4 linked regions of the Arabidopsis thaliana genome follow. The protein of the gene in region 1 interacts with the protein of each later gene in a pairwise test. Each region holds a gene or a part of one and is shown on either strand. Other genes may lie near its edges.

What was found.
Region 2: the proteins of CLC-C (region 1) and AT2G44930 interact in a protein complementation assay, tested with the Arabidopsis thaliana proteins (one large-scale study listed by BioGRID).
Region 3: the proteins of CLC-C (region 1) and AT5G16590 interact in a protein complementation assay, tested with the Arabidopsis thaliana proteins (one large-scale study listed by BioGRID).
Region 4: the proteins of CLC-C (region 1) and AT1G53790 interact in a protein complementation assay, tested with the Arabidopsis thaliana proteins (one large-scale study listed by BioGRID).

The regions. Positions count from the first base shown.
Region 1 is NC_003076.8:20,285,857-20,294,763, forward strand, and holds CLC-C (chloride channel C), read right to left. Parts: upstream 6,577-8,907; 5' UTR 6,288-6,576; coding exon 6,082-6,287; intron 5,583-6,081; coding exon 5,382-5,582; intron 5,186-5,381; coding exon 5,008-5,185; intron 4,897-5,007; coding exon 4,634-4,896; intron 4,323-4,633; coding exon 4,053-4,322; intron 3,931-4,052; coding exon 2,799-3,930; intron 2,723-2,798; coding exon 2,633-2,722; 3' UTR 2,628-2,632; intron 2,547-2,627; 3' UTR 2,199-2,546; downstream 1-2,198. Other genes in the region: MAD1 (mitotic checkpoint family protein), read left to right, coding at 17-220, 475-637, 925-1,015, 1,112-1,181, 1,495-1,623, 1,707-1,745, 1,830-1,919. UniProt on the Arabidopsis thaliana protein: Voltage-gated chloride channel.
Region 2 is NC_003071.7:18,528,234-18,535,382, forward strand, and holds AT2G44930 (transmembrane protein, putative (DUF247)), read right to left. Parts: upstream 3,520-7,149; 5' UTR 3,439-3,519; coding exon 3,430-3,438; intron 3,257-3,429; coding exon 2,883-3,256; intron 2,739-2,882; coding exon 1,891-2,738; intron 1,784-1,890; coding exon 1,467-1,783; 3' UTR 1,255-1,466; downstream 1-1,254.
Region 3 is NC_003076.8:5,429,160-5,436,376, reverse strand, and holds AT5G16590 (Leucine-rich repeat protein kinase family protein), read right to left. Parts: upstream 4,794-7,217; 5' UTR 4,516-4,793; coding exon 3,231-4,515; intron 3,142-3,230; coding exon 2,824-3,141; intron 2,731-2,823; coding exon 2,456-2,730; 3' UTR 2,191-2,455; downstream 1-2,190. UniProt on the Arabidopsis thaliana protein: Might be involved in early recognition of growth promoting fungi. Appears to be specific for P.indica.
Region 4 is NC_003070.9:20,077,432-20,084,406, reverse strand, and holds AT1G53790 (F-box and associated interaction domains-containing protein), read left to right. Parts: upstream 1-2,942; 5' UTR 2,943-3,012; coding exon 3,013-3,075; intron 3,076-3,354; coding exon 3,355-3,436; intron 3,437-3,523; coding exon 3,524-4,709; coding exon of another isoform or gene 4,710-4,713; exon of another isoform or gene 4,714-4,794; coding exon 4,795-4,849; 3' UTR 4,850-4,876; intron 4,877-4,948; 3' UTR 4,949-5,326; downstream 5,327-6,975. Other genes in the region: AT1G53800 (muscle M-line assembly protein), read right to left, coding at 87-690, 779-1,080, 1,168-1,486, 1,582-1,619, 1,712-1,764, 1,862-2,239, 2,495-2,519; AT1G53780 (26S proteasome regulatory complex ATPase), read left to right, coding at 6,694-6,699.

The sequences.
Region 1 (8,907 bases):
TTGCTTATATATACAGGGGTTTGAATCTTCTCTTGCAAAGAAGGAGAACTATATTAAGGATTTAGAGCAGGATCTAAATCAACTGAAGGATGTCAATAATCGTCAACGTACTGAAATAGAACTTCTAAATGAGAAACTAGTTGATGAAGCAAGGAGGAATAAGTCGCTGGAAAGGGATAGTGATCGTCTTCGCTCTGAGATCTCTTTACTGGAGTCAAAGGTACAGATGCTAGAGATGTGTGCTTGTAAAAAAGATTGCCAAAGAAAATATTTGCTTATGGAACTTTCATCTGCCATGGTCGAAATGAATAATAAAAGTTTTTAAGGGTGAATGGCGAATTTTATGTCCTGCATCTTATGTTTTTCTTAGGTTTCATGGAAGATTTTATTATTGTAAAAGCGAATAGAAATGCTATTTAGGACCTCTAACTTCTACCCTAGAGTTTGATCTGAACAGTAACATATATTTGGCAGCTGGGTCATGGTGATTATTCTGCCGCAAATACAAGGGTTTTGCGCATGGTGAATACTCTTGGTGTTGAAAACGAGGCAAAACAAACAATAGAGGCTTTACAAGCTGAGTTACAGAAGACAAAAGAAAGACTTCAAGCTGTTGAAGAATTAAAGAGCCAGTCTGGTAAATTTCTGATTGTCGACCTTTCCTGTTTTTGATACTGAGTTTGCTACAAGTCTACCATTCAATTTTACTCTCACCACAAAATTCACTGGAGAAGCATACCTTAATTTCTCTGTGACCCTATTCTCTACATCATATTCTATGTTTCCGAGAATAAAAGGGAGGGCCAAAATCTTTCTGTTGATCTGCCTCCGGAGGACTTGAGAAGAAATATTGTAGTGTTTCAAAAATGTTATTCTTATTTACTAAATATGCTTTACTGTAAATTCTTTTTCATGAATATTCAGGAGATGCTGGGAAGCTAGTTGACTCTCATATAACTGGAAAGATTGCTCAACTAAAAGAGCAAAATGCTACGCTTGAAAAACGTGAAGAGAGGTTTGTTACTGATAAATGTTTAACATGTCCTTTGTGCAAATATGACCTTGATTTCCCATACTAAAACATATGTGGAGCCTATGAATTATGAAACAGGTACAAAACTGTTTTTGCTGATAGAATTTCCGTGTTTAGAAGGGCTTGTTGTGAGCTTTTTGGTTATAAGGTATGCCACTTGCTCATAATTATGTCGTAGCACTCAAATTTTATTCTTTAGCATTACAATGGTTCCCTGAAGGCAATGATTCTGGATATTTCAGTTTTCTGAATGTTGACTATCACATTGTAAAATGTAATGTTCGTACTTTTGTCCATTTTTTACGGTCTATGAACTGCGCGTTTCTGTTGCAAAGAGGGATTCAGCTATTGCTATCTATAGTTTTCCTTACCTTCCGTTATTCGTGTAGATAGATGATCAAAGAGTCTTATTCATCTACAGAACTTGTAAACTTGTGAATTCCTTTTGAAAACTCTGGCAGATTGTAATGGACGAACATCAGCGTCCCAATGGAATCCCAGTGACTCGGTTTACTCTCCAGTCTATATATGCTCAAAGTGATGATGAAAAACTCGAGTTTGAATACGAGTCAGGAAACACCAGTATTCTAGTAAGTGATTCTTGTAAATTGTATAACTTTGATATGCTGCATTTGAATCAGTTAATCAACTGATACTGATTTAATTCCTTCAGAACAATGAGTATGCCTCTCAGGGCGACATAGCGAAGCAGGTAAAGTACAGACATAGTTTTCTTCCTTCATAAGCGCAGTGTTCTCAGTGAAGTGTAAAAACTCATTCTGTGTGTTTCTTGCAGATAGAAATATTCATCAGGAAATTCAACTCGATTCCAGCTTTTACAGCCAACTTAACGATGGAATCATTCAACCGTCGGACGCTATATTGAGAGCACTGCGTCCTTATTTCCAACTCTGTGTTTTGTATATTTCTAAAGCCTGCTGAATAGAAACTGAAACTCGAAAGCCGCAGCTTAAAACACTGGCCTTATCTATGTCTACCTCTGGTTCGTTATGTCTGCTATAATTGTGGTGTCAGTAACTCTATTTTGGTATGAAAGAAACTAGTTTCGATTTACTCAGAAAGAATATCTAATGTCATTCTCTGATTATGCGTTTATTACTTTATAGTCACCAAAAACAGTAACACTTGAATATCAAGCAAACAGATTTTTATATAACCATGAATTTAAAACACAAATAATACACAGACTACCTACATGTAAAGAAGATTAGAGCAAAATTGATATCGACTTATAATATAATTACATGTTTAGTTTTTATTTATTGTTTTGAATAAATGTTGTGAAAACCAAAACCCAAAAAAAAAAAACTTGTATCACCTCATTACACAATCATCCTTCCCCTGCTTTTCCATAATCAATCTCAACGAATAATTGAAATAAATGCCTAAGTGACATTGGTCATCTGGGCTTTTAATTTTTTGATATTCACATATTATTACATTGTAGATCTTTAGAGAACTCTCACGTACTTGTTTCTCCATTCTTTATTACCTGCAAGAACAAGTGCCAATTGGATTTAGAAAACAATTAGAGCAACCAAATGCAGGCAACAACGAAGACTAAACGGCTAACCTTATTCACTTGAGGGGATCAATGTGAGGGTAGAGTCCCAGGACATGTTCCGGCATGAAATCATGCCTTGTCAGTATTCCAACAATAGGCGGTCTCTGCAATACGAAAACATACGCGTTAGAAACATAAACAAGTCTAGCGAGAGGAAGAGAGAGCGAGAAAGAGACTGACCCCTGGTGTTTTAGGCACCACACACAAGTGGCGAAGACCAAGTTGCCGGAAAAGAATAGCCGCCTTAGCTAGAGACAGAGTCTCAAGCACAGTGTAAGGAGATGTGTTAGTGATGGGATGGAGATCAACATACATCTCCATCTCCTCCTCACTTAGATCCAAATCTTCAATCTTGAGCCCCTTACCTAACCCTGCTTTACCAAAGTCACGGGCTTTGCAACTTCTCAGAATTTGTGAACCAAAAGTTGTTCTCTGCTTCGAGAATTTCTTCCCTTGGAGAAGCACAAGGAGATGAGATCTCAAGGCAATCCCACATAGCTCAGAAGCTTCTGTGAAAGGTGGCTCATCAATTACAGGGAAACCATTATGTCTTGTCATTTTTAAAGCCTGCCATATTACCCCAACCTTTTCAACTCTCGAAAAGGATATCAAAGCTCCAGAAACTACGTCCTTTGCAACCAAATTGCGCATGTACGGCTCTGCATGGTCTTCCATGTAAGGCAGTCCTTTCATTGTTACAATCTGGTCATAGACCCCCCTGTTGAAACAATCTGCAACCGTTTTTGATATAAGGAGTACAAGCATCACCAGTGGCAGCATTAGGAGATTATTTGTAAGTTCGAGCAGTATAACACATAGAGAGACCGTCATTCTCATTGTGCCTCCAAGGAAGGAAGCAGCTCCGAGCAGAGAAAACAGACCTACATCAAGCTGAGATACTGGACCCAGCAGTCTACCCACTAGTCGTCCATAAGAGGCTCCAGCAAGAATGACAGGAATGAAAAGCCCAGAGGGTATGGCTATGCCGTATGTTATGATGCCAAGGCAGTACACTGCGACAAAGAAGATGGCAAGGGTAGAGATATGGAATTCATTTTCAGATCTGGATGTGAAAAGATTACGGATTGCATCATCATTGGTGTTGAGAAGTAGGGAGGAAAGGTCATTGTAATGGTTTGGAGGACACTGGAAACTCTTATAGATGCTGGATCGACCTACACTAGGGCACTTTCCCTCCTCTATGCCAATAGGACATGGAGTACACTGTGAAAGCCATGGGAGACCAAATGCGCAACACGAGCTCAAAATGGAAACTGCCATTACAAGCATAATTTTAAATCTCGGACCTTTCCTGCAAGTTATGGAAAGAACAAATTAAGAAAATCGAAAAGAGGCAAAGAAATGATATTATGAAAGAGTAACTCGTTGGAAAATGACTTTATGAAAGAGTTAACTTGTTGAGAAATGACGTACTCGTTTATAATGCTATATGTGCGGAGGACTTTGTCCACAAGGTAGTTGTAAAGGCTTCCAAGCACACCACCAATAACTCCAAGGAATACTATTGCTAGCAAATCTGGAGTGCTATATAGCACTGGTCCCGAGTTTACATCAAACATGATGAGACCTCCTTTCCCAAACAGTCCACATCTCCCAGAGCGACAGAACTCAATCAAACTTCGTAAGACCACTGCTACAACTGCGGTAGTGAAGAATGTCCTCCAGAGAAGGGCATTCCTCCACCTAACGATATTAAAAAAGTGAGACATAATCTTTTCCAAATGGATATAGCAATATACGCAAACCGTCTAAACTCTACACTATGTATCACTTAGATTTCCTCGCTCACTAACTTCCATTTGCATAAAGAAGTCATGTTGGATACATTATGTTTTCAACTAGACAAACATGGTGACCTTCTTGCACTTTTGCATTAAGACTTCTAGCTGGGGAGAAGCTTCCCCTTTCAGAGTCTGTCTACTACAATGACTAGACTTGCATAAGGTATCACTCCTTGGATTAGTTATAAGGAGTTAGAGAGAAACAGAAAATACCATGAAGCAGCTTCTTCAAGGGCGAAAAGCACTCCTCCAACTGGAGCACGGAAGGCAGCTGCTACACCAGCAGCAGCCCCGCAAGTGATCAGGTCTCTTCTGTCTCTATCGTTTTTGAAGAATCTGAGCCACTTCCAAGTCAACCGGTACTTTTTGGAACCACCTTGTCCAAGTAAATTAGCAATGCAAGCACCAGTATGAACCATAGGCCCTTCTTTTCCAACTACAAATCCGGCAGCAACTCCAAATATAGAGCCAAAGATCTACCAATACGAAATATTTCGTATCAGAAAAGGCCACAGAGATGAACAAAGACATCAATGCTAAATTCAGGATGAACAAAGACTGCTTGGAAAGTTGTTTGGGGATCTTACCTTAACAAAGAGGGTGCTTGGAGCTAATATTGAATAAGCATCTATACCATTGAGATATGCTTTAACCTCAGGTATGCCAGATCCTGCCGCCGCAGGAGCAATAAAAGCACAGAGTGAAGCAGCAGCAGTTGCCAAAATTAAGTTACAACCAGCAAATGCAAAAAATGCCTGGAAATATCTGCAGTATTTGAGAAACATCCGATGTCATTTATCATTCTGATCCACACATATATCCCTGTGAGCCTTAATTCTCATAACAGTATTAACCATTAAGAAATTTAGATATAATCAGTGAATAAACAGTAACTGAAACAGGATAGAAAGTGCTAAAAAATGGCGTAGAAGCAGAGATAAACAACAAAAGCTAGACTTACTTTTCCTTGAGCATGAGATTACCGATGAGCAAGAGTTTAAATCCAGCTATATTCTCAACACCAAGGTTATTCAAAAAGCCAACAAGTCCAGTAGCTAAACCAATAAGAAAAGCAAGCGCCCATTTGAGAAACGTATACTGAAGTATCTCAATCTTCTTCCTAGACCTCCAGTCTTGCTTGAAAAAATCATTTTCGAAGATCCTGCCAAATAAAAATCCCAAGTCAAGATCCTGATATGTTTACATAAGCTATAATCATTCACACCAAATTAGGCAAGACACCAGTAGGAGACACACACAAAGACAAAAAGTCAAATTCAGTCTGAAACTATGATTGCATCATCATAAAGACCCCAAAAAGATTTGCACTTTTCTCAATCTAATAGATTGTATAGCATACCTATTGCTAGGTGAAGTGGCTATGATGTCTCTCAAAAGCTAAAAGCTTCAATTTTTACCCAAAAGTATTAAAAATGAAAACATTATGATTTAAAAATTATACATGGGATGGGACCCAAAATGTTACATAATCCAAAACTTCATAGACTCATAATCAAATTTGAGATGAAGTTTAAAAACTAATCGAAAACATTTAAGCATATTAAAGTCTAATTGCCAAAGTTAAAAACTTTATCCAGAAAAAAGAACGAAACATCAAGTTATGTGCAGAAGAAAAGAGAAGAGGGAGAAAAAGGACAGACTCGTAATCAAGGCTTTCGATGGGACAAGTATTAGCTCCGACAATAGCGATCTGAGAAGTTGTGTTCTTTCGATTCCTAGCGAGAAGAGGCTGTCGAAATCCGACAGATCCATCGTCTAGAATCCCAGATATCTTCCTCTCGAAACCATGTAAAGCTCCTCCTTCAACCTCTATATCATGATGGTCTCCTTCGTGCCGATCATCCATCTCTCCTCCACGATCTTGTTTTTTTAAGAAAATAAAATTGTTTGTTTTCGATTTCCGATCAGATTACAAAGCCACAGAAATGGAAAGCTATATAATTGGGCACGAGATTCCTGGAATCATGAACCTCTCGCGCTCAAGCAGATGCTAAAAAGTCGATTTTTTTATTGTTTTTTTTTCTTTTTTGTTTTTTTTTGAGGGAGGTCGTAGAGTGGTATGGGTCAGGAATTTTGTTTTTTTATTTGATCCTAATTTAGGCAAAACTAAACTCTCTTTCTTTGTTATGATTTTCATAAGGATATATTCTTCTAAATAAATAAAAAAGTCAATAACAAAAAAAAACTTGCATAAATAAATTATCTAATTATGAAAATTTTCATAGTATTGTTTTTGCCCAACAAATTTGTATACAATCGTGATATTTTATGGGGGAAAAAACTATTTGTTTTTTATATATATTATTTTGAATTGATTTTTCATAAATAATTTCTCTCAAATTTTACAACTGTGTCCGATATACTTATATAAAAATAATATATGTATATTTTTTTCACATGATCTTGTAAAGTTTGTTTTGATTCTAACTCAATTACAGATATTTTTGAAATCTTACTTCTCATGTGTGTTTATTTAGTTTCTAGATATGAAAATTTTGTTGTTAAAATTTTATAATGATTTTTAGTTCCCAAAACTGGATTTCAACAAGAAACCAAATGAGCCCAAACTAGGGTAGACATCGTCCAATTATACGAACCACTGTGTATTTGCCAGACTTGTTGAAACATCACACAATTCAAGAGAAGAACAAAATCTATTGGATTTAACATTAAAACCAAAACAAAAAACAACATCTATTGGTTAGAAAGTCTTTTAAACTTTTATGAGAGGTGGCTACTGGCTAGATCCAATCAAATTAAGATGTCTTTGGTGTAAATCAGTTGATCCTTCTCTTTTTTTTTTTTTTTTAGTTATTAGATCAACAAGGTATGCATTCACTTTTTAACAATTCTTCTTATTCATGCAAGATGGAGAAACACGATAAAGAAATGCAGATATTGTTTTCCTTTAGTTATGGAACCTGACCTTGACATATTTTATTATTGCAAAAATTTATGGGGAAATTGATCGGATCCAATCGTTTATTGTCTCATCAAAATCATGGTTTCCTACCGAATTAATTTCTTGATTGTGTTGTAATACACATGTTGAATTCATTCCAAGGAACACTCTCAAGTTTTAATAGATTGTGGGGTTAGTTTTAAAATCTGCCACAACTGTATAATTATTAATCAACTCGATCTTTGTTTTGATGGTTTTTCAACATTTGATAGGCCAGTCGACATCTTAGTGTCTCCACTTCTTTTATTTTGAGTATAATGGTGAAAGCCACAACTAAGATATATTAACATCCGCAATGAGTTAATGTACTCACGATAGTTGAACTTTGTTTGGAAGCTCCTAACTCTCTGTTTTTTTTTTTTTTGATCAAGCGGAAGCTCCTAAATCCTATCTAGCTAAAAGACCATCATCTCCAATGTATGTTTTTTACTCTAGAATATAGTAATTCTAAAATAGAGTAGGGGTTTTCTCAAATGTATCATTTTATTATATTTTATTCTAAAAAGAATAGAGTAAACATTAGAGTTACTCCACATATATATAGAGTAATCATATCCTTTACTGTGTTTTAGAATGATGTATAGAGTGTGGAATTAAAAATGATTTTACTCTAATAAATATAGAGGGAAAATTTAAGTGGAGTTGAAGACACCCTAAGATATCTACAAAAAAAATGATTGTGTTAAAACTATAGAAATCTTCGTTGACATGTTGCGGAATATGGATGCTAGTGGTACAAGCCATAACCTATATCTTTGTATACAAGAAAACAGTTTTATGGAATGCTTTTGAAATCAAATCATATGAGTTTGGATTTAAGGGCCGTTCGCGGGTGAGAGCAAGCGACGGGCACAACTGCAAGAGCACCGTGGGAATATCCTGAATATTCCAAAGGCCATACCATATACATGGTTGCAGATCTGAAGGATCTAGGATTTAAACTTTTAGGGTAGTTGCATTAATAACGTGGACATCAAGGTTCTAGGATAGAATTTTGAATCAATCTTCGTCGACTTATTGTCAGACTACCATTATTTATCAACTACAACGTGCATTTACTATATAAAAAATAGTTTTCTAGATTATTAATATAGTGTAGTGAAGTCTTAAACGCAACAATATATAGAACAGAAACATCATCAATATAAAATTAAGCATGTTTAATTAAATGATACATCGTCGGAATTATTTTTTATGCATCGGATAAACGTGTACGCATGAGAATGAACGTTTGCGTCAACTTTATCCCAAACATAAAGAACTAAAGAAGGATTCATTATCCTTTGCACAAAAGAAAAGAAACAAGAAAAAAAAATGATTCTTTTATCCATTAGAAAATAAAGAATTGAGCAGATTACACTATAATGCAATCCATATAATTTAGTCCTATACTTGTAATCATCAAATATATGTTAAGAAAATTAGGGATGGTTGAAGCTAGCCGTACTTAGATAATATAGTGGATGATATCATTGCCATAAATAAATTAGCAATGACTAACTAA
Region 2 (7,149 bases), on another chromosome or scaffold:
CCTATTTTATTTCATTTCAATGTTGTTGACAAAAACTATGTTAAAGTAATATGTTTTATTTTAAGTGGTTGACTATATCTAGTTATTGTTTTTTTTATTTCATTTTATGTTTTTCTTTTTTTTGGTATGATTTTTAGATATCTTTTTGTGATTATGTTAATTTTAAATCCATATATTGCATTTTATTTTAGATAAGGAAAATGAGTTGGAGGATGGCTCTGAATATTGACTACTATATTTAGTCACTAAGATTGAATCATTGATTTGATATTAGAAACGAAAATTTATTATATAGAAAATAAAGTAACCGATTTTTTTTAAGTATGCCTCTGCAGAATGGATGAAAATATATTGTAATAATAATATACATAGTCTCGTTTGATTTCGTGTATATAGCAAGTAGGAGTAGCAAACTAGCAATCTACAATTTTCGGGAGAGATTTCATTAGTGTGATTTTTGTCTTTGTGTGTCACTTATAGAACGGAAGCCAACGTCCCAAGCAAAGTCAACACGAGGATAACGACTGCGCCAACGGTGGCAGTTCCTGTCCAAAGCCCAAAGGTCTTTGAAGTAGACTGAGAGTGGCGAAGGATGTCCTTTTTTTGTATTCTGATAAAGTTGAAACGATCCTCGTAGTATTTGTTGAGCCTCTGGGCTATGTCGATCGTAATAGTGAGAGCCATAATCAACAATCCCTAAACACAGCTTGTTAACCTTGTACGATACAAATTTTGAGCGTCCCAACTAGTTCTTTATTATAGCTTATATTAAAAAAAAAAAACACATATATATATATATATATATATATATATATAACAGAGTATAATTTAATTTAGTTCAATGTTTACTATTTGAGCCCGATCAATGATTGATTAATGGTAAGCGACATTTAACGACATATTTTCTGTTTATTTAGTTTTTTAAAAAATATACGTGTTAGTTATAATAAGAAACACAAAAATAATTATTTACAAACCCTATATATAGAATGCATTTTTTTTTAAAAGGATTTTTATAAATTTTGAAAACTAAATAAACGAAAAATATCGTTAATGACCGTTTACTGTTTTAAATATAATTATCGTTAAACATTAATAAACTACTGATCGAGGTCAAATTTGACAACTTGAAAGTTTATGTAGATAACCTAATTAGTTGGAAGGTTTACATGAGAATATGGAAAAAAATGTAAACGTTCTTGTAGGAAAATTGTTTCAACTTGAATATTTTATATAAAAACAAAAAAATTGGAGGTTTTAACGGAGAAAATGTTTTGAGAGATTTTTCTGAGAATTTTAACTTGAAGATACATAATCAAAAGATGACGTTAGCCATGATGGACTAAATAAAGAAAATATGAAAAAGAAGCATTATTTGTGGAACAAAGTCGAGCAAAGAGAAAACCAAATTAAACATTGGAGAAAAAAAACAACTATTGTTTGTTTCGTATATAACAAGAGACAATCTACGGTCCTCGGAACATAGCCGGAGGCGGTGGAGAATTATTATCCTTCTGCGTCACCTGGAGTACGGAAGCAACCGTCCCAATCAAAGTCAACACGAGGATAACGGCGGCGGCAATGGTGGCAGTTCCGGTCCAAAGATCTTTAAAGTAAACTCGCCGGAGTGTGGCTATGGATCTATTGCGACGGCTTTCGTAGTGTTTGTTGAGTCTATCGGCTATACCGTAATAGTGAGATCCAAAATCCACAAGCCCTAAACACAGCTTGTTTACCATTTCCGCCACCGATGCTTGATGTCCTAACCAGTTCTTTATAACTCCTTGTAACGGAAAATGTGAAGATATGTTAATTAGGAATCTCATAAATTTGTCTGACTAATAACTTAATCTTTAAAACCAAGATATATATTTTGTATAGAGTTTTTACCTTTCTTGACGAGCAAGTCAACGTCTTGGTCGGTGTCGATAAGAAAATCCAAGAAAGCTATGTAGTTACAAACATAAGCAGTGAGAGGGTAATGACATTGCTCGAGGGCCATTAAGTTCCTCATAATCCTCTCGGTGTTGTCGTCCGCTAAGAAACAAGGTATTTCCAAGATTCCGCGTTCGAAAGTTATCACCAACGATAAATCGTTTTTTCTTTCCAGACGCACAAAATCCACTCCAGCACTGTCTAGTTTGTCTGCGTTGTGCAGACTCTTTATGATCTCCGGTGGCTTATCCTTTGCGCTTTTGATTTGTTCTTTTGTCAAACAAAGTGTTTCCACACGGACACGTCTGAACAAATCTGTAAAATGACGGAAATTCGTTCCTTCTTTGATCTCTCCTTTCAACCTAAAAGCTCGAAGGATAATGTCACGGAAAGTTTCCTTGGTTTTAAGATTTGCGAAAAAAGGTTTAGAGAGTTTCTCTAAAAGGACATAAGGGAGTTGGTTCTCGAGTAAGATTAGGTCTTCTAAAATAGTGGTTATGAGACAAGGCTCCTGGAAAATAATATCTTCTTCATGGAAAAGAATTTCTTCTTTCTTCTTGATGTTTTGAGTAGTTTCAGCCTGAATAAAGACCCCTAGTATGAACACCGAGTCGAGAAGGATCATATCAACGAAATCTTGAGGTTTGATCCAGTCCGTTGACTCGGCGTAGCTTTCTCTAACGAATTTCTCACTTGTTTCTATGATCTCCTTGAAAACTTCGATAATTTGATCCCCATATTTATTTGCAATAGCATTAAGGTACTTCTTCTTGTGAAGCTCCATGTTCATATAGTCCAAATATCTGAACAATGTAACATATTATATATTTTCCACATAAACACTATAATCTAGCATGTTATAAATGTAACTATAACACACAAACGCAAACATAAAAGCAGAAACCAGCCTTTTTCTTCTTCTGTATGGTTAATATATGCACACGTACCTTAAATCGGTTTTGGAAAGCTCAAGGGCATTAGCTTTCTTAGAATGTTGAAGTGGACCGATGAGAAGCATCTGAGGAGTGTATGCCTCTGGATTAACTCTCCTTAACCGGTTAGGTACTCTATAGATGCAACAATACTCTTTGCTAAACGAAGAAGGCCATATACCGGAAATCTCAGATTCATAGCAAGAATCCGGTTTATACGGTTTAGTCGTGACAGAAACAATCTTTGCTTTCTCAGCTGTTCCGTGTTTAGAAACCAATGGATCACGAAATCCTTCGCTCCATCTACCCACTTTACCAGATCCGGTTTCATTCTCCCTCGTACTTAGCTGTATTCCTTGTTCTAGATCCTCCATCAGCGGTTGCTTCTCCTACAAGTAAGAAGACATTTTGAAACTTCATTTATCTAAATTTTATGATAATCAGAGATAATTCTGCTTTTTTTTAAAAAAAATTGTTCAATTTACAAAAGTGGAAGAAAAGAAGAAGATAAATGAATTCTTTGATAAAAACATAATTAAACAAATTTAGGTTTTCCTCGAACCTTGGCCATGTATGCTGATATAGAAGTGATAACTAACGATATTTGGATTAAAGGCACGTTTCTTCTTTGAATATATATTTAATTGTGCGTGGGTTTTCACACCACGAGGTTAGGGATTTATAAATAAGATCACAAAATGACGTGAGTGTGAAGCTATCTAATTCAAGCATTTTTATATTGCTTCTGCCTTAGGGAAATTTATCCCAACTTTTTTCATTCCTTTATATGTTTCTGTTTAAATCATCTTCCGAGCAAAGAATTATGCTGTCAGGAGGTGAAGAATAACAAACAAACAAAAGTCCAACGCGGAACACATTGGACCATCTGATGTTCCTCACACAAGTTTCCTCAGGTTTCTTAACAGTTACTAGAGCCCATCATAATATCAGCCCATTGGGCTTTAAGTCTGCCCCTATATATCATTTGGGTCGGAGCTACAACTGTCAAGACAATCTTAACCAAACTACAATTTCGGCGCTTCTTTTTCTTTCCAATCATAGGCAACTAATTATTTTGTCAGGTGATACTGATACTTGCCATGTTAACTTTTTTTTAACGGTTTCGAATACCTTAAACTATGAGCGATATACCTGTTGTTGGATTCGTTTTGTGAAAAAAAAAACATATCAATTAGAGACCTACAAAATTCTCACAATAGTGGTGGGGGTCTAAATGTGACAAAATACATTATTCATTCATTTATACCCAACGTATGGATGAAGGACACCTCATTGGTTATCTATAGTATTTAACTTTCATTGACTATAAATATTAATTTTCCAAGTAGAAAAAAACGCAAAAGTTACAAGAGCGAGCATATAATCCAAAATAAAGATGGACATATAATAATGAAAAGTAAATAAAGAAGCAGAAACTTCAAGAATTATTCGGGGGTGGAAAAATAGGAGAAAAGAAAAAAAAAAAAAAAGTGGATCATAATCAAATTTTGTCTCTTTAAAGATGCAATTTAATATGACAAATAAAATTATGGAGACAAAGACAATTCGTAGGGCAGCCACTAATAGATATATAAATGATGTGATGTAGACCTATTTCGCTCTTAATTTTGTTCTTCCTCTACATTATACATACCTTTTCCCTTGCATGACTGGATTTGTTTATAAATATAAATCTTAATTTAGTTTTCACTATGACAAAAAGGTATTCATGAAAGGTCTTAATCTCTGTTTTTTATTTTTGTAACTATTTTTTTTTATATTTGAAAATATTGATGTCGATTACCAACGTTAGTATAAGGTTTCTGGTTTTAAATTCAAAATAAATTGGTAATAAACATTTGTGTTGTAATAAATACTCCAAATCTATGTAATCCAACGGTTTCGGGATTAGATCAAATGTTAAAATATCCAACGTGAAAGAAACCTTTAGTAATCATCAATTTATTACTAATGTGCATGTGTAACGTATTAAAAACTTTTGGAGACTATTTTCTTATCATTCAATTATATTAAAAGAAAAGTCGTTTACATTACTAATTTGTTTATGTATTTTATATAAAAAGGAAAAGAACAAAAAAAATTGCATTTGAAACACCGAGTCCTGCAGTTTAATAAAAGAAGAAGAAACAGAGAGTCCTTAGTTTTATATAGAACACAGAAATTTCAATACATGTTTTCATAAATATTTTGAAATTATAATGGGTCTTAATATATATTAATTACAATCGTGTTATTATTATAACTAGAATGATATTCAGTCGGACCAAAAGCAAGATTTGGAGGATCTGAATTGGTGTGGCCCAAAGGGATGTTACCACTCAACGAACTTCCACAATTACCAAAAAAACTATAATAGGTACGTTTATGATTTCAAAGAAAAATACCACAAAGAAAAAAACATTTTCTTGGATTACTATCCTGTTTTTAGCTGAAAAACTTTGTCATCATCAAACGTTTTATAAAAGTATCATGGCTTTTTGCAAAGATATTTCAGTAAATAACTTCATTATTATTTTGTTGGTTTTCATTTTCATATAACAATATACTTAAAAAAAATGTGAATTTGAACTTTGAAATACAAACAAGACATTTTTGATAATTTCTATTTTAAAATCAGATTCTCGCTAATTTTATTGTCTCAACTTTGTATTGCAAAATTCATCTAAATCAATGAAGACAGAGTTTATAAAAAACATTATTGCTAAATTCTGCGAGAGTTCCTCGCACTCAAAGGGGAACAGGTAAACTAAGTTGCACTATCAAACAACACAAAGTAGTAGCTCAATACTAGTAGTAGCTGTTATAAAATAAAACCAAGCTGGATCTATGAGAAAAGCAATACGTCTCTCATGACTCTTGCCCATCGCCTACTAGCTAATGGAAAATTTTCCAATTTATATTTTATTTTAATTTAATACGATTACCTCTTTTTGAGGGAAACATAGAATTGAATGAACAAAAGAGTGAGAGGGAACATCATATTTAAGTTTCTGAACCGCTTCTCCCTTACCCCTTTTATACGTATCGATGCATTATATGCATATTTGTACTTTGATTTATGTCTACGTATCGATGCATTATATGCTAGTATATTATTCACACTGCGATATATCAATGTATATATAGTTTATATATGAAGAAATACAGAATCCATTTTTTCCACGAAATAGAAGGAATTTAGAATGATGAATTAGGACCACTTTTTTCCCCTTACCGTATGGTTACATTCACAGATTTTTTCTTTTCCTTTTTACCTTTTAGCATAATATGTGACTGTCAATATCTTTAAAAGTTCTATCAAAAAACATCCTTATATACAACGTCGTTGAGATCTGATCTCCACCGTTGATCACACTAGTATTAACCAGATGGCGACATTTGATTGGTTCTTTCTTTACTACCAGTTTTGGTTGCATGCTGACACCGTATTAACTCTTCGCCGATCGATGATATGAATAATGTAACATGAAGATTAGAGGAATTTTCTCATTCTATTTGTGTTTTCCTTTTAACTAATTGTTTTTTTCTTTGTTGAAAAAATAAAAATAGTGGTTCTCCTTTTCTTTAAGTCTTTGATATTTTATTTTTGTACGATTAAAAACGAGTGGCATGTGCGCCATGTGTGCCCATTGACTTATATAAAATTATTAAATCTCACATCAATCATCGTATATCGCTCGCAGATTTTTCCCACAATCTCTGCTCTCTCTTTCTTGGTTTTTTAGACTTTTATTTTGTATCTATCTGTATGATTCTAACTTAAAATTGTGTATATATACACGAAAACTTGTTTTTAATCTATCAAACTCAATCACAGTTGTTTAACAAATAGAAAAAGCTCAATCAGCTACGTTGTGTTTTAATTTATTTCAAACCTACCGTCGTATATTTTCAAACTATATATTGCAGAGATATACCGAAATTATTCCTAATTTATTTCCAAAATACACCTACCATATATAACTCTTACTACTTGAGTTCATACTTAGCGATAGTTTGAATTCCTAATTGTTCTCTTACCAATATTCTCTAATGATCAAAACACACACACATGTTATCACCACTCAAAGAAACTAGTCGTTATGATATAAAAGTCGGTCTCCGTTTTGAATATGGAAACTCGCATATCAGAATTTTCCAGCTACTACCCAAAATGCTAGGATCAATTACGAATATTAAAATATAAATCATTGACAAATATAAGTATTCTGTTTTTTCGACGAAAACCAACTTGTGTCAATTTCTAATATATTTTGACGTT
Region 3 (7,217 bases), about 15 Mb from region 1:
TCTATTTGGATTATGTGTTTATCTTTTTTTCGTGACCGAACATTTGATGGTACCTCAATTAATTCATTTTCCAGCTCATGTCTAATTAGCATGCATAATTTTTAGAATATGTTATTTATATAAGCTTTTATTTTTTAATAAATTATAGTTATGATTGTCACATACGATAAAATTAAAAGATTATTATGATATTCGGCAACCATCTTCAAACAAACTTTGCACTAAACAATATAAGGAATAAATTATGAGCTGGCAAAGGTTAAAATTTAAGACTTTAGGAAAATGAATCACAAGTTGTAAAGGCTTCAATAGTTTTATATGGATTTGACAGGGTAGATAAGCTATGTGGCATTGTCTTGGGCACATTTGATAACAATAAAATAAAATAAATACTCTTAACATATACAAGTGCATGTGAACCCACATGGATATGAGCTAGATAGAACAAGAGAAAAAATGCTGTGTCCATGACTCGGTGTAAAATGATTTATGCCACCTGATTAACAACTGATCAAAACGTAACACATTCATATTTAATATTAAATAACGTCATTTTTAATAAATATATGATATTTTATGCATTTAAAAAAGAACTCACAGCTTTAGAAACAAAAAATTCGAAATTTACACACAAAAAATACAGAGTTGTTTTTCTTTCTTTTTTAGCATTTAGTAGCAATTGTAATTTCAAATACTAAGTTTTCTGCTGACAAAAATACAAATAGCTACAATTATAATATGGTGCTTCATTAAATTCCAAAATAAATGCTACAACAACGAGAAACATAGAGTTATGTGAAGCCTAAAGTTATAAAATGTTTTGGATGTTAATTAATTCAATATGAAAATATGATGCTTTGACTGATTTTGTCGGTTATCTCTCTAGGTCTAATTATAGGCATATGAATCTCATTCAGTCATTCTCGTACAAGGTCATCACTATCACTTAGCTAATCTACAAAGTTTCAGAAGACTTGTCAACAATATACCATGACTTAATTCTTCATTATATTTTTGATGGCAAAAGTTCAATATTCAACGGATTATTCACCATCACAAGGCTTACTAGTTTAAGCACGTTTTTAAATTTATTACTCTAACTAAATAATTTTCAAATTGAAAAGAAAAAGAAAACCTACTACATATTCGAATGATATGGCTAATGAAACGACTGTTAGTAATTAACTTTTCTTGACATATACCTAAATCTGTTTTAATGACATAAACAAAATGTTTAGTTTATATTCATTTAATGTAGTTATACTATAGATCCATCTCATGCAAATCAGCATATGATATGCGACGTTATTATTTCTTCCCTTGTAAGAGTCGCAGCACACATAATTGTAGCTAACAAGTAACAACTAACACAAGTCAGACTGTTAAGAGTAATCATTTAACAAATGTAGTTACGTTAGTTGATTATGATAAATTTGTGTAACTCTCAATTAATGATTACAAATTTTAACAAGAAACACCAAACATTTTAAGTGTAGATGTGGGACACCATTACAATTCCCATTGATATCGCTTAAACTTACAAACTAACCCAAAATCATCAACTAATTCTTAACTAACATTTTTTATTTACATCTCAACCGAACCAAAATAGATATGTTCTAAGTTATACATGAATGATGCACTCAACTAATTCTTTCACACATTAAGTCCGTAAATGATTTTCCGAAACCCTCTGCATATGTCTTGATCAATACAATTTATAAAGATAGTATATCTTTCTTTCTTTTTTTATTCTTAAAGAGAGTCGCTTGAAATTTACTTTAACGATTAAAGGAAAAATGAAGAAACTTTTGTTTTGATGGCTTCACCAAATTATCTGAATTTGAATTTGAAAGGTGGGGACTAACTTGACAGATTCAACTTAGAAACTTTAAATAGACCCGTTACCTAAAATTATATTTACTCCATGGAGTTTGTAATAAGTATTTAGATACTTAGTCTTAGTCACTAATACAAATAAAACTTGAAATTGAGGAAAGACAGAAAATATGTGTCGTTGACATGCATTTTATGATTGGTCGGAGAGAAGAATCAGACACAATATATCAACAAAATTTGTTTGACAACTTTTTATAATTTACCAACATATAATAATCAGGCTCCTTCTTTTTTGTTTCTGCCGTTTTATTTGCTAGTTCGTTAGAAAGAAAGAGTCAATAGTGGATAAGTTTCATGAAATAAAGTTAAAGTTACTATATTCAAATTGATGGGCCGACCAATAGAAAAGGAGAGATATAATTTGTTTCACACTCAATCAATTTGTATATAAAAAATTTCACTAAAAAAATTAAGAAACACAAAAAAAAAAAAAAAAACTTCAACGTAGATCTCTCAACTGACTTAAAGACCAAACTATATAAAGAAATTCAAATTTAGACCAAACAATTTTGAAATGATCAATTTAGACCCCATATATTGAAAAAGAAAAATACAATCAATCGGACAAAGGACCTGGTGAAGCAGGTGAACGAGAAACCTCCTCGATGAGTCTTGTGACTTCAGGCATTGTAGGACGACTATCTGGATACTGAGTCGTACAACTTATACCGATGTTTAAAAGCCTGATCATGTTCTCATTGCTGTCCGATTGATACCTTGTGAGCTCTGGATCAAACACATCTGATGGTGATTGTTGTTCAGTGATCGATGAAACCCATCTCGGTAAATCTACTCCTTCTTCGTGTAACTGCTGATGCGTTGGAGATTTCCCTGCAAATCAATACAAAAACCAATATATGAATCAACATTTTGACCAAAAATACGGTTTTCAAGATCTCTCTGTTTTTGTGTGTGTTGTTGTACCTGTGAGTAATTCAAGAATGAGAACACCGAAGCTGTAAACATCAGCCTTTTGGGAGATTTTACGAGCATCGGTTACTTCAGGAGCTCGGTAACCATCAATGCGGTTAGGTGTAGAAGTAGGGCTGATCATAGGTGCAAGACAGTAGTCAGAGACCTTAGCTTCAAAGGATTCTGACAATAGAATGTTAGATGATTTAATGTTGCCATGAGATGTTGTCGCGTCACGCGAATGGAGGTAGCTAATTGCTCTTGCGGCTCCTAATGCTATATTGGCTCTCGTTTCCCAATTCAATGGACTTCTGCCACTTCCTTTGTTCCCTACGAATTCATTCCAAAAAATTGGTTTTAAAAAATCTGTAATCACTACTAAAGAATCAAACAATAAACAGAGTTATTTATTTTGTTACCGTGTAACAGCGCAGACAAGCTTCCTCTAGACATGTATTCGAAAACAACGAGCTTTTCGTCGCGGCTGAAGTAATATGCAATCAATGTCACAAGATTGGCATGGCTTATGGATCCAAGAACCTGCAATTTCTCTCTGAACTCTTTCTCAGGAACCACGACATCTCTCAATCGTTTCACAGCCACCACTAATCCGTGATCGAAACTGGCCTTGTACGAAGATCCGAACGTTCCTTTACCAAGTACTTCCGCAGAAGCTTTCAGCAATCCATCAAGATCAAACTCGCCGAAAGATTTCACGAAAAATGTCAGATCTTTACTCACTGCAGCAGGGTTCTTTGATACACCATTTTCAGATGCACCATTAGCCACCACCGCAGGAGGACCATTCGATTCCTTAGCCACGGCTGCTGATGAGGTCGGAACAGGAGCTGCTTCGATGCTTCTCGATTGGACGACTTGCTCTTTCTTCTTCTTTCTACAGAGACAGAACACGATCAAGAAAAGCACGAGAAGCAAGACGAAACAGCCGATCACTATTCCGACAATAGCTCCGGCAGATAACTTGTCGCTTTTCCCTTTTCCTCCAGGCGTCACAGTACCGTTTCCAGTGCCATTGACAGGGCAAGCATCTAACGGCTTCCCACAGAGCAAATTGCCTAAAAAGGCGGTTTTGGGCATACCCGACAACGGATCCGGAATCGACCCGTTTAACTGATTGGATGAGACATTAAACTGTTGAAGCTTAATCTTAATCTCCGGGATTGGACCGGTGAGTTGATTATCCTGCAAGTAAAGAGTAGCTAACCGGGTTGCAGAATTGACATTATCCGGGATCCGACCCAAGAAATTATTCTGGGCGAGATTGATCCGAATAATGTTTGGTAGAGTGAAGAGAAACGAAGGAATCTCGCCGGAAAATGCGTTTCCTTGAAGATACAAGTAACGGAGAAGAGTTAGGTTTGCGAAATCCGGCGGGAGAGGACCGTTAAGAGCATTGAATCGGAATGATAAAGTTTCGAGCTTTGTAAGGTTTCCGATGGCGATTGGTAATGGACCCGATAAACCCACACCGGGTAATCGGAGTGCTGTGACACGACCCGACTCACATTGGACTCCTCCCCAAGTACACGGTGGTGCTGTTAGATTCCACAGCAATGGACGCCCATGAACACCGTCACGAAGTGCGATTAGAGCTCGTCGATCAGCTTCTAGATCTGATGTCACGGAAACGAGACATATAAAGAAGAAGAAGACTGAGAGACCTAAATTGGTCTTGTTCTTCATCTTCTTCTTACCCAAAGCTTAATCCTTTACAACAGTGAACGCCTCTCTCTCTCTCTCTGACTCGGAGATTGGTTTTTCCGAGATTTCCGACTACGTGTAGAACAGTGTTTGGAAAGAGAAAATGTCGGAAGAAAATCTTCTCACAGAAATTTCAGCTCTCTCTATCTGTCTCGACGGCTATGGGGAGATGATGAAGGAGGAGAGAGAGAGAGGCTATTAATTGCAGACTGCAGTGAATGGAAAGAAAAAGTTAATTGTTCAATTTTTTACCTTTTTAGTTTTTACAGTGAGATACAGAATCTTTTATTAATTTATTTAAATATTCCGTGCGATTATTTTTACAGCAAGAAGAAATGAGTTTGCTGTATATTCTTACATCTTTTTATTATTGTGTAATTTAGCATTTTCAGTAACAAATCATATGATTTACATATTTAAATGCTTTTGTTTCCATTTATGAAGGAATCTGGAGAGATTTGTAAGAAGTGTTATAAACATTACATAAGTAGATAAAAGATAATAATAAATACTTAATTAAAAGATACTTTAATGTGAAAATTAAACAAATACTATCCGTTTTTTTATTTTTAATGAATAATTTAAATTGTTTAGTTATGGTTTTATTATGTACGATGGAAACATGCAACTCTTGGGAAAGTATGTTATATTATTGAACGTCTCCTAAAAATGTCTGACTTAATAATACTGAACCACTACTAATTTAAATTCCTTTCGGATATGTGGAACATATTTACGTGTTAACTTTTTTTACAATATGAAATTCTTAGCTTTGTGTCTATCTAAGTCATCGGCAGAAAAAAAATGTGTTTGTACATATATAGAATAGGATTTGAGTAGTTTCAAAATTTTACTTCCTCTAAAAGTAAGAATATATTCTGTATTAAAATGGAATAACTCATATCGAAAATTTTTGGGAAGAAAATATACAAATTAGATTACCTCATTAGTATTTTAGTACTGAAGACATGATATTAAAGTAAAACAATTAGGATTTTGATGAGACCAACGTTTTTATTTCGGCCCAAACTATAATTGATATTCAGTTAAGAGTACATTGTAGAAAGTAAGCCCATTATTATTATTGATTACGGCCCATAAAATAGGCTTATACAAGAATGGGTTCTTAAATCAAACTATATATTTGAAGCCCCTTTTATTTCATGGGACAACAATATCAGTCTACTCTACTACTACTAGCATTTTTCTTTATTTGACGAAAGAGTATAGTACTTAACTAGCATAAATTGACGTTACCAAGTTTTTAAATGGTTCTTCTTATGTCATGCAAAAAACAATTTCGTAATGTATGCTTTTTTCCCACTTTCCATTCATATAATGATAAAATTTTATGAATTCATATTTTCCGTGTGAGCATTGTTCTGTGATGTTACTTTGCGTTTGCGTATTACCAATCATATTACACAATATCCCGTCGGTCCAACTTGTTATTACAATTACAAAACATACAAGTTGGGACTATATGATAAGAAATTAAGAAGATTAGGACTCTCCCACCAATGAAAATAAAGAGCTTTCGAAATTTTACAACAAGAAAGGCAAAAATAGTGACATATATACAAAATAGCCCAGAGTCACGGGAACATAATGACCCACCAAACAATTGTAATAATTGGCTGTTATCACAAACTTAATATTGTAGTACCTATCAAAATTCTAATTGGGTGGTGCGAATACAATAATAGCTCACAGACAGTTATGATATTTGGTTTAGTTCAAATTTTTTTTCGTTAAAGTATTATAAGATTCAAAGCTTTTTAGTCCTACTATATTATTTGGGAAATACATTTTAAATATAATCTTAATTTTTGTAAGTAATTACATAGGTATGCCATTAGAAATAAAATTTTAAAGAGTAAATTAATGTATCTCTTTAAGGATTAAAAAGTCAAATACTAATTTAATTAATTAAATTTAATTTAAAAACGAAATATATTATTAATTTTCAAAAATAATAACCAATCAAAATCAACATATAAGATTTGATATCTAAATTTTAATTAATTTGATTTAATTAGAAAAATGAAATACATTATTAATTTCCAAAAAAGTAACCAATTAAAATCAACAAATTAGATTTGATATCTAAATTATTGTATTAATTTTTTATTAATTTTTTATTAATTATTATAATTCACTTCTCATCTTTATATGATTCTATTTTTGCGAAAAAATAATATCATCATTATAAAAAAATAATTAGAATTTTTTCGCATATGCCATAATTAGAATTTTTAAAAACGAATATAAATTGTTCAATACATGAAAAAATATTATAACGGGTGAAAAATAGATTTAAGAAAACTTTCTACTGAGTAACGGGTCATAATTTGAAATATTTATATTTAATTTCATACATATTATATTGAAAATTTATAATCTTATATACTATAATAATTAATAACATATTAGATTTTTTATGTGTATGATGTGATTCATTTTTTAATACAAGCTGGAAAATCCTAGAATTGACGGGTTTAGATCGATATTAATACAAGATGGTATACTACAGGTGAAACTCTTAAATTAACAATCAAACTACAAGTGTATAATCTTAAACACTAAACAATATAGATAATATCAACAAAACATATACAACTCACAGTTTACTATACATTTAAAATCAAATAAAATAATATCATATATTTTTAAATCATCTTTAC
Region 4 (6,975 bases), on another chromosome or scaffold:
GCATAAGAGATAAGACCAATATATAAGCCAAAATTTTGAATTACTAATTGAAAAATATGACTTTTCTCTGCTAAATTGCTACGACATTAGGCTGCTTCTGTGACTTCGACGAGCCTTCCACGAACCCACTTCTTCGTTACGTTTCCTGATTCCAAAGATGCAGCCTTTTCGTCAATCCCGTGGTAACCATTTGGAAGAGGATGATTCTCAGCAAGACTGATAGCTCCATTAGACTCTGCTGGTGGATGGACTCTCGTTCCGTTTGGTTGCCCAACTATCCCGAGTTTGATATCTTCTCTACCTCCTTGGGATGTGTTGGATTCCATATCAGAAACAAACTGGTTTGTAGTACCTTCTATAACGAAAGTCGGTAAATCGTTAGATCTCATGTTCATGTGAAGACTCTCTCCGTTGATCTGCAATGTGTGTGTTCCATTAATCTCTCCTGGTCGTTCTTGATCGTTTGTATCTTTGGTTTCAGATTCACTGTCATTAGGCTGAGGTGAAAGAAGAAATGGGTAAGTCCCATCTTCATCTGAAGCTATCTGCCTCATCTCTAAAGATTTAATCAGTTGTGTTGCTTCTGCTATGAGCTTTTTACTCTCTAACAACGATGCTTGAGCAACCGGGCTTTTCAAAGCAGCAATCTCGAGGACTTTCGCAGCTTTCTCAGCTTCCGAGATCAAAAGCCTGAGGCGAGAAAAGGTTAATTCTTGTTAACTTCTGCTCACAGTTGCAAACAGAGAAATATTAACAATTCTGTTTTAAGTGTACTGACCTTGCTCGTTCCACAGCATCCATCTTCTTTGATTCTTCCGCCACTCGTTTTGCTCTGATGCTTTTGATCATTTCCAGTTTTGAACTTGCCAAAGGATCTTTATACGCAGGTGTTTTGCGCTTCCTTACTTTCACCACTTGAACTTGGCTTTGACGTTCAAACTCTGAATCCCTTGTACTTTTCTTTGTAGGAGTCTTCTTTCTAGGTTCTGCATCGCTCCTTGGTCTTCTACGACGCCTCTCGACACCAACAGGTATACCGTGATATTTTGCCAAGCCGGAGCAAACTCTTTCACGGTAAGACTGATAAGAGAAAGCAAACTGAGTTAAATATGACCAAGAACAAAACATCAAACAAGTTTGATTTGATCAAGTGACTAGACAACTTACTGGATCAGCCCATTTAGCAGCTATTGCTTCTGCAATTCTCCTTCTTTGTTCAGGAGATTTTGGCGCTCTTCTGTTACTTTTAGCTCCTTTAATGGCTTTCCTCTGCTCAACACTTTCCAGCCATTCCAGTTGATTCTGTTGATCCAAGATGTTGTAAGAATCCCACTGAAGCTCTTCTTCGTCTGTATATCCTTGTTTAGCAGCCTCCGCTAACAAGTTTTGCCACTCGAAATGACATGTCTCCTGCACTTTTCTCCTCTCCTTCCTCCTTGCCCATCGCATCCGCACTCCCTCTCCAATCTTCATCCGTGTCTCCTTGCTGTAAAAATCATGCAAATTTGGGAAGATAGTATTATGATAACAAAAACCAAAAGCTCCAACAGGTTTAAAAGCAAACGAAAAACCGGTACTGACTTTTGTGCGTGCCCAAGATTCGCTAATTTCATCTTGATCTGCACAAGGACAAAGACACAAAGGTTCTATGAGGGGTTGAAAATTCTGATGCATAGAGCAAACATATAGAACCATTCTTACATGACATCACCTTTGGGTCTTGCATTGCAATCTTTGTCCTTTCTCTAATCTTCTGTAGGGTCTCTGCATAAACGCAAAAGAAAAAAGATTATGAAATGTTTCCAATTAGAAGCAACTGAAGATAGATTGCTGAAGATACGAATAAGCAAAAACTACTCACCTGGACTATGCTTCCTGCCTTTGTTCCAAGGAGTGTTCCCTCTATTTGCCTTAGAAATCCTCATCCTTCTCAACTTTTCTCTGTCATCCACTTGTTCTTCGCCATCATCAGCACTTCCATTTGAGGATTTCGAAGAAGCAGAAGACAAAGAAGAGCTCCGTTCGTTTTCTTTTTGAGCCGGATACTTGGTTTCAAGAGTGGCCACTGCAGTAATAAGAACTTTTCCTCTTCGGACATGACTATGACCCGTGTAAAATTTCAAATTCTTGGAGAAACAAGACTGTCTCCATGGATTAGGTAGACTTTTAGCATGGATAATACTCTGAGCCCCCAATGGAACAAGATGAGCTTGAAATGAAGGTTGGATAGTAGCAATATCTGCAAAGATTAAACCAAAGAGTCATCTCCATTAGCTAGTAAACATTCTCTAGATACTGTGCGAATCACTAGTCTTTTCTTATACGCATTTAGACCAAGATTGCAAATGCAAATAATTGATACTCAAGAATGATGAAATCCAATAGAAAAGAAACAAAATTGAGAAGAAAGAGAGTCTCAATACTGAAGTAGAATTCTAAACAGTAACCAAACACAAACCCAGAAAATTAAGAGGTAAATATCTGGAAACTTTACCAGAAAAGGTACCTAAAGAAGGCATTGGGAGCTCATTCAGACCAGGAAAACGAAAAAGGAAGAAACTTTGAAACACTCTTCTCTGCAACACCAACCAGGATGTCTTGTAAGATTATACGGAACAATACATTAAGGAAATATGTTCCTCTTACTGTCTGAGAGAGGCGAGAGTTTTTGCAGGAATTTGACAGACAAGGATAAGCCACACAAAAAGCAAATTTCAACGAAGATACTTGTGTCTGGCTTTGACGCAGCAACCAGGGAGGCGATGGATAACGAGACCCGGCTCGCTCTAATGACCCGACCCGGATCACTGCATATTGGGCTAATGGGCCGCGTTTCATAGCCCAATTCACACGTGGTATTATTTTCTCTGGCCTCTCCAACAAGGCACCTAACGTGGCCCTTACTTACTAGACCTTAATAACTCGGACAAAGTTGGTACTCTTGTTGGTGTAATTCGATTTCTTCTTCTCACATCTCAAATCTCCGATCAAAATCCGAAAAAAAAAAAAAAAATGGTGAGAGATATTGTAGACGATCCGCTTGACGAAGATGATATCGCTCTCGTCAAGACTTATGTAAGTGTACCCTTTTAGAACCCTAAATTTTGCTGTATTTTGTTTCTTTGCGAACCAGTTTGATGTTTTCTCATGAGTAATTTCGAGCTAATTGCTATTTTATGATCCTATTTAGATCATTTTTGTGCTTATATGACTAACTAGCTTTGGGTGACTCTGCCTCACTGTTTGAATAAGTCATCCAAGTGAAAAAAAAACGTTCATAGTTATACTTGGTTTGATATGTTGCGTCTCCATATGTTTTTTTGCTGACCTTGTTAAAATCTCAATCCTTCGCAGGGGTTAGTGCCTTACTCTGCACCTATCAAGAAAGTGGAGAAAGAAATTAAGGAACTCACCGAGAAGATCAACGATCTATGTGGTTTGTGCACACTGAGATAGTGGTGTTACTTTCATTAGTGACTTCTATTTACCGAATGATTAAATTGCATATACGGGTAACTTGCAGGTATCAAGGAGTCTGATACTGGTTTAGCTCCTCTCAGTAAGCAAATGATGCAAGAGGGGCAACCTCTCCAGGTGGGTTATGTTTCCTGTTTTAGATATATCCCGATCGATCTCCTCATGGATATCTTTTCGAGAGTTCCTGCAAAGTCTATAGCTAGGTTTCGTTGCGTATCCAAACTCTGGGAATCCATACTTTGTCGTCCTGATTTCAAGGAGTTGTTCATGACTATGTCTTCGATTCGTCCACCGTTGCTTCTTTTCACCTTCCAAGATGATGATGGCAATTTGTTCTTCTTCTCTTCACCTCACCCTCAGATTCCATGTAACGAGAATACGTCTCTTGTACCCACCCGTTATCATGTTCAACATACCACAGATTCTTTTTCTGAAATTGGTTCTCCTCTTTGTGGATTCATCTGTCGCCGAGGTAAGAGAAATCTAGATACTATGGTAATTTGTAACCCAGTCACGGGAGAGTCCGTATCCTTACCCAAAGTGGAACTGAAGAGTATTAATACTGAGACAAGACCTTATTTAGGATATGATCCGGTCCGCAAACAGCTAAAGGTATTGTGCATCAAGTCTGATGATATCCCAAATACGTGTGATGAGCATCAAGTTTTGACATTGGAGAATGGAAACCATTTATGGAGAACAATCCAATGCAAACCCCATTATCCTAAATCTGATGGAATATGCATAGATGGTATTTTGTATTATACAGCTGGGTTCGATATGCGGGCAAGGGTTTCTATGGTAGTGTGCTTTGATGTGAGGTCTGAAAAGTTTAGCTTTATCAACATACATGTATTCATGTTGATGAATGACTCTTGTACTCTAATCAACTACAAGGGTAAACTAGGTGCACTTCAGTTTACATGTTTGTCTCCAAAACGTCTTAGGTTCTGGGTTCTAGTAAATGCTGAGAAAAATATATGGACCAAATGTATCTATGCATTGCCTCCTTTGTGGAACAACTTAGTTCAGCATACGGAGTTAGCCATTGTTGGAATGACTGATGGAGGTGAAGTTGTGTTGTCACAGTACTGTCTAATATACGCATTTTACATTTATTACTTCAACCTTGAGAGCAAGAGTCTCACAAGAGTTCAAATACAAGATGTTGAAATGTTCAAACGTACGAGAGTTTACACCTCTCTAGGCTATGTTGAGAATTTTAAACTTATGTAAGTGTTCAACTATTGTTTTAATACTTGGTCTAGTTTATTCTTTCAGTTGATAAGTGTCTATCTTACATTCTTTTGTTCCAAGGACTGACTATGACAGAGGATTCAACACATTTTCTCCTCAAGGGAGGCTATTTTAAGTCGAGTCTGCCACTGAAGCTAGCAAGGTAACTTTCTTATTAGTTACAAAGGATCAACTTAAGTACTTAACATTTACGACTTGTAAATTATTTATGCAGCTTTTCATGGCTAGCAGTTTCACAGACAATTCCACAACTGAATAGATGGGCAGATTTTATCCTTTCACAGAAGCGACCACAACAAACAGTTCTACCTCCACCACGCTAAAGATCTTCGATAGGCTTTGTCTCCACTCTGAAAATATTCCTAGGCAAATCCAAGGATTGTAATTGGAAATTGTTCATCATTTTAACTTGGTTAATTGGATAATTTTATTCCTTTGTTGGTCATACTAGTCTGCTTTTCATTTTCAATTCTCTTGTATTTTAAATTGTTTAGGAATACTTGTCTTCGTTTCGACTTTGGCCACGCCAACAAGAAACATCTTATGTAATAACAGTCATTAAGCTACTTTATGTAAAAACAACCTTATACTTTATGTAAGACAAAACATATGGGCCCAAAAAGGCCCAATAATAATCATTTACATTGGTTCGTAAGTCAGTTTGATTTTTGTTTCCTCACCTCCCCGATCGTCGGAGGATGTAGAAGGTGGCGGCGGCGGCTCTCACCTGCTTCATCGCAGTTTAGAAATGACTAGAGGAGATCGACGTAGCTCCCCGAGTTTCTTCTCCGGCTCGAAGCGGAGTTGGCTAGGGTTTCACGGTGGCTCACGGTCGCCACTTCTATTGATTCCGAGCTGATAGATGATGGTGGCTCGAGGTCAATCGTGCGTATGGGTTTGCGGCTCCGATCATCCCTGTGACGGAAATCGAGCGGCGGATCCCGCAGCTGAGGGGTGATGACGGCTATCGTCGGAGGTATTTCGTGCTCGCTTTCTCTTTTCGGGAGTTTCAGCGACGGCGGTTCATGTGATGGGGTTAGGTCCTGCGGTAAGATACGGTTCCTCCGGCTTGCGGGATTGGTGGCTCCGGTCTCGGGTTGTTGGCGGTGGCTGTGCTCGCAACCGTCGAATAAGGGATAGCCTCGTTGAGAGAATATCGGTTTTATTTCCGGTTTAAATCTCATCAACAAACCATCTCTAAACCGGGTTGTACTTATGAATTGAAAACATCACGTAGTTTTATTATCTCTTCTATCTGAAAACAGCACGCATGTTATAGCATTTTGAATGATTTTTTATAAGGGATTATTTAGAGGCCTAAGGCGCGTAAAGAAGAGCTAAAAGCGTAACAGAAGAATCTCTCTCAGTCGCAACAGTTTCCGGTTACTCCAAGATCGCCGTCGTGCACCTTTCTTCTCTCGCTCTCTGGTTCTGAGGTTAGCTCGTAAATCTCATCGACCATCACTTCTTCTACTACTCGTTCCAATTACCATAGTACGAAGACATTGCTCGAGAATCTCTCAGTCGCAACAGAGTCCGACTACTCCAAGATCGCCGCCGTGAACCTTTCTTCTCTCGCTATCTGTTTCTGAGGTTAGTTCCTATATCTCATTGATCATCTCTTCTTATCCTACTCTGATTCAATTACGATAGTAAGACGACATTGCTCGCGAATCTTGGTCAGGTTGATGTTTCTTGTAACCGCAACTTTGCAAAGGGTTGGCTATATCGTTCCTTTGATGCTTAGATGAGAAATTTGATAGCTTTTCTGGAGAATTCCCAAAGGAAATCAGTGGAAATGAGATAATTTAGGGATTAAACTGAGTAATTGATTGTTGGAGATACACTTGTGTTTGGATATTCGATTTGGATTGTAAAGATCAGTTTATCCAGTAGTCTAACTTTTCAATTGCCTTCCACCGTTCAGTTTTTGGTTTCAGGTTCGAGAAATTAATAAACATGTCAGTTCTAATTGACACGGATTTAGGGATTGTGTTTCTTGATCTCTACACGGATTAATGCCCTAGCACCTGCTATAATTTTCTTAAGCTGTGCAAGTAAGTGTTCCTTTTGCCTATACCTAAGAAACATCTCTATCTTTAAGGGTTTTAACTTACTTGTTTTGTCAGGATAAAGTACTACCATCAGTGCCTTATCCACACTGTAAAGGATTTCATAGCAAAAACGGGTGATCCAACAGGCACAGGAACGGGTGGAGACTCAATATACTAGTAAGATGAC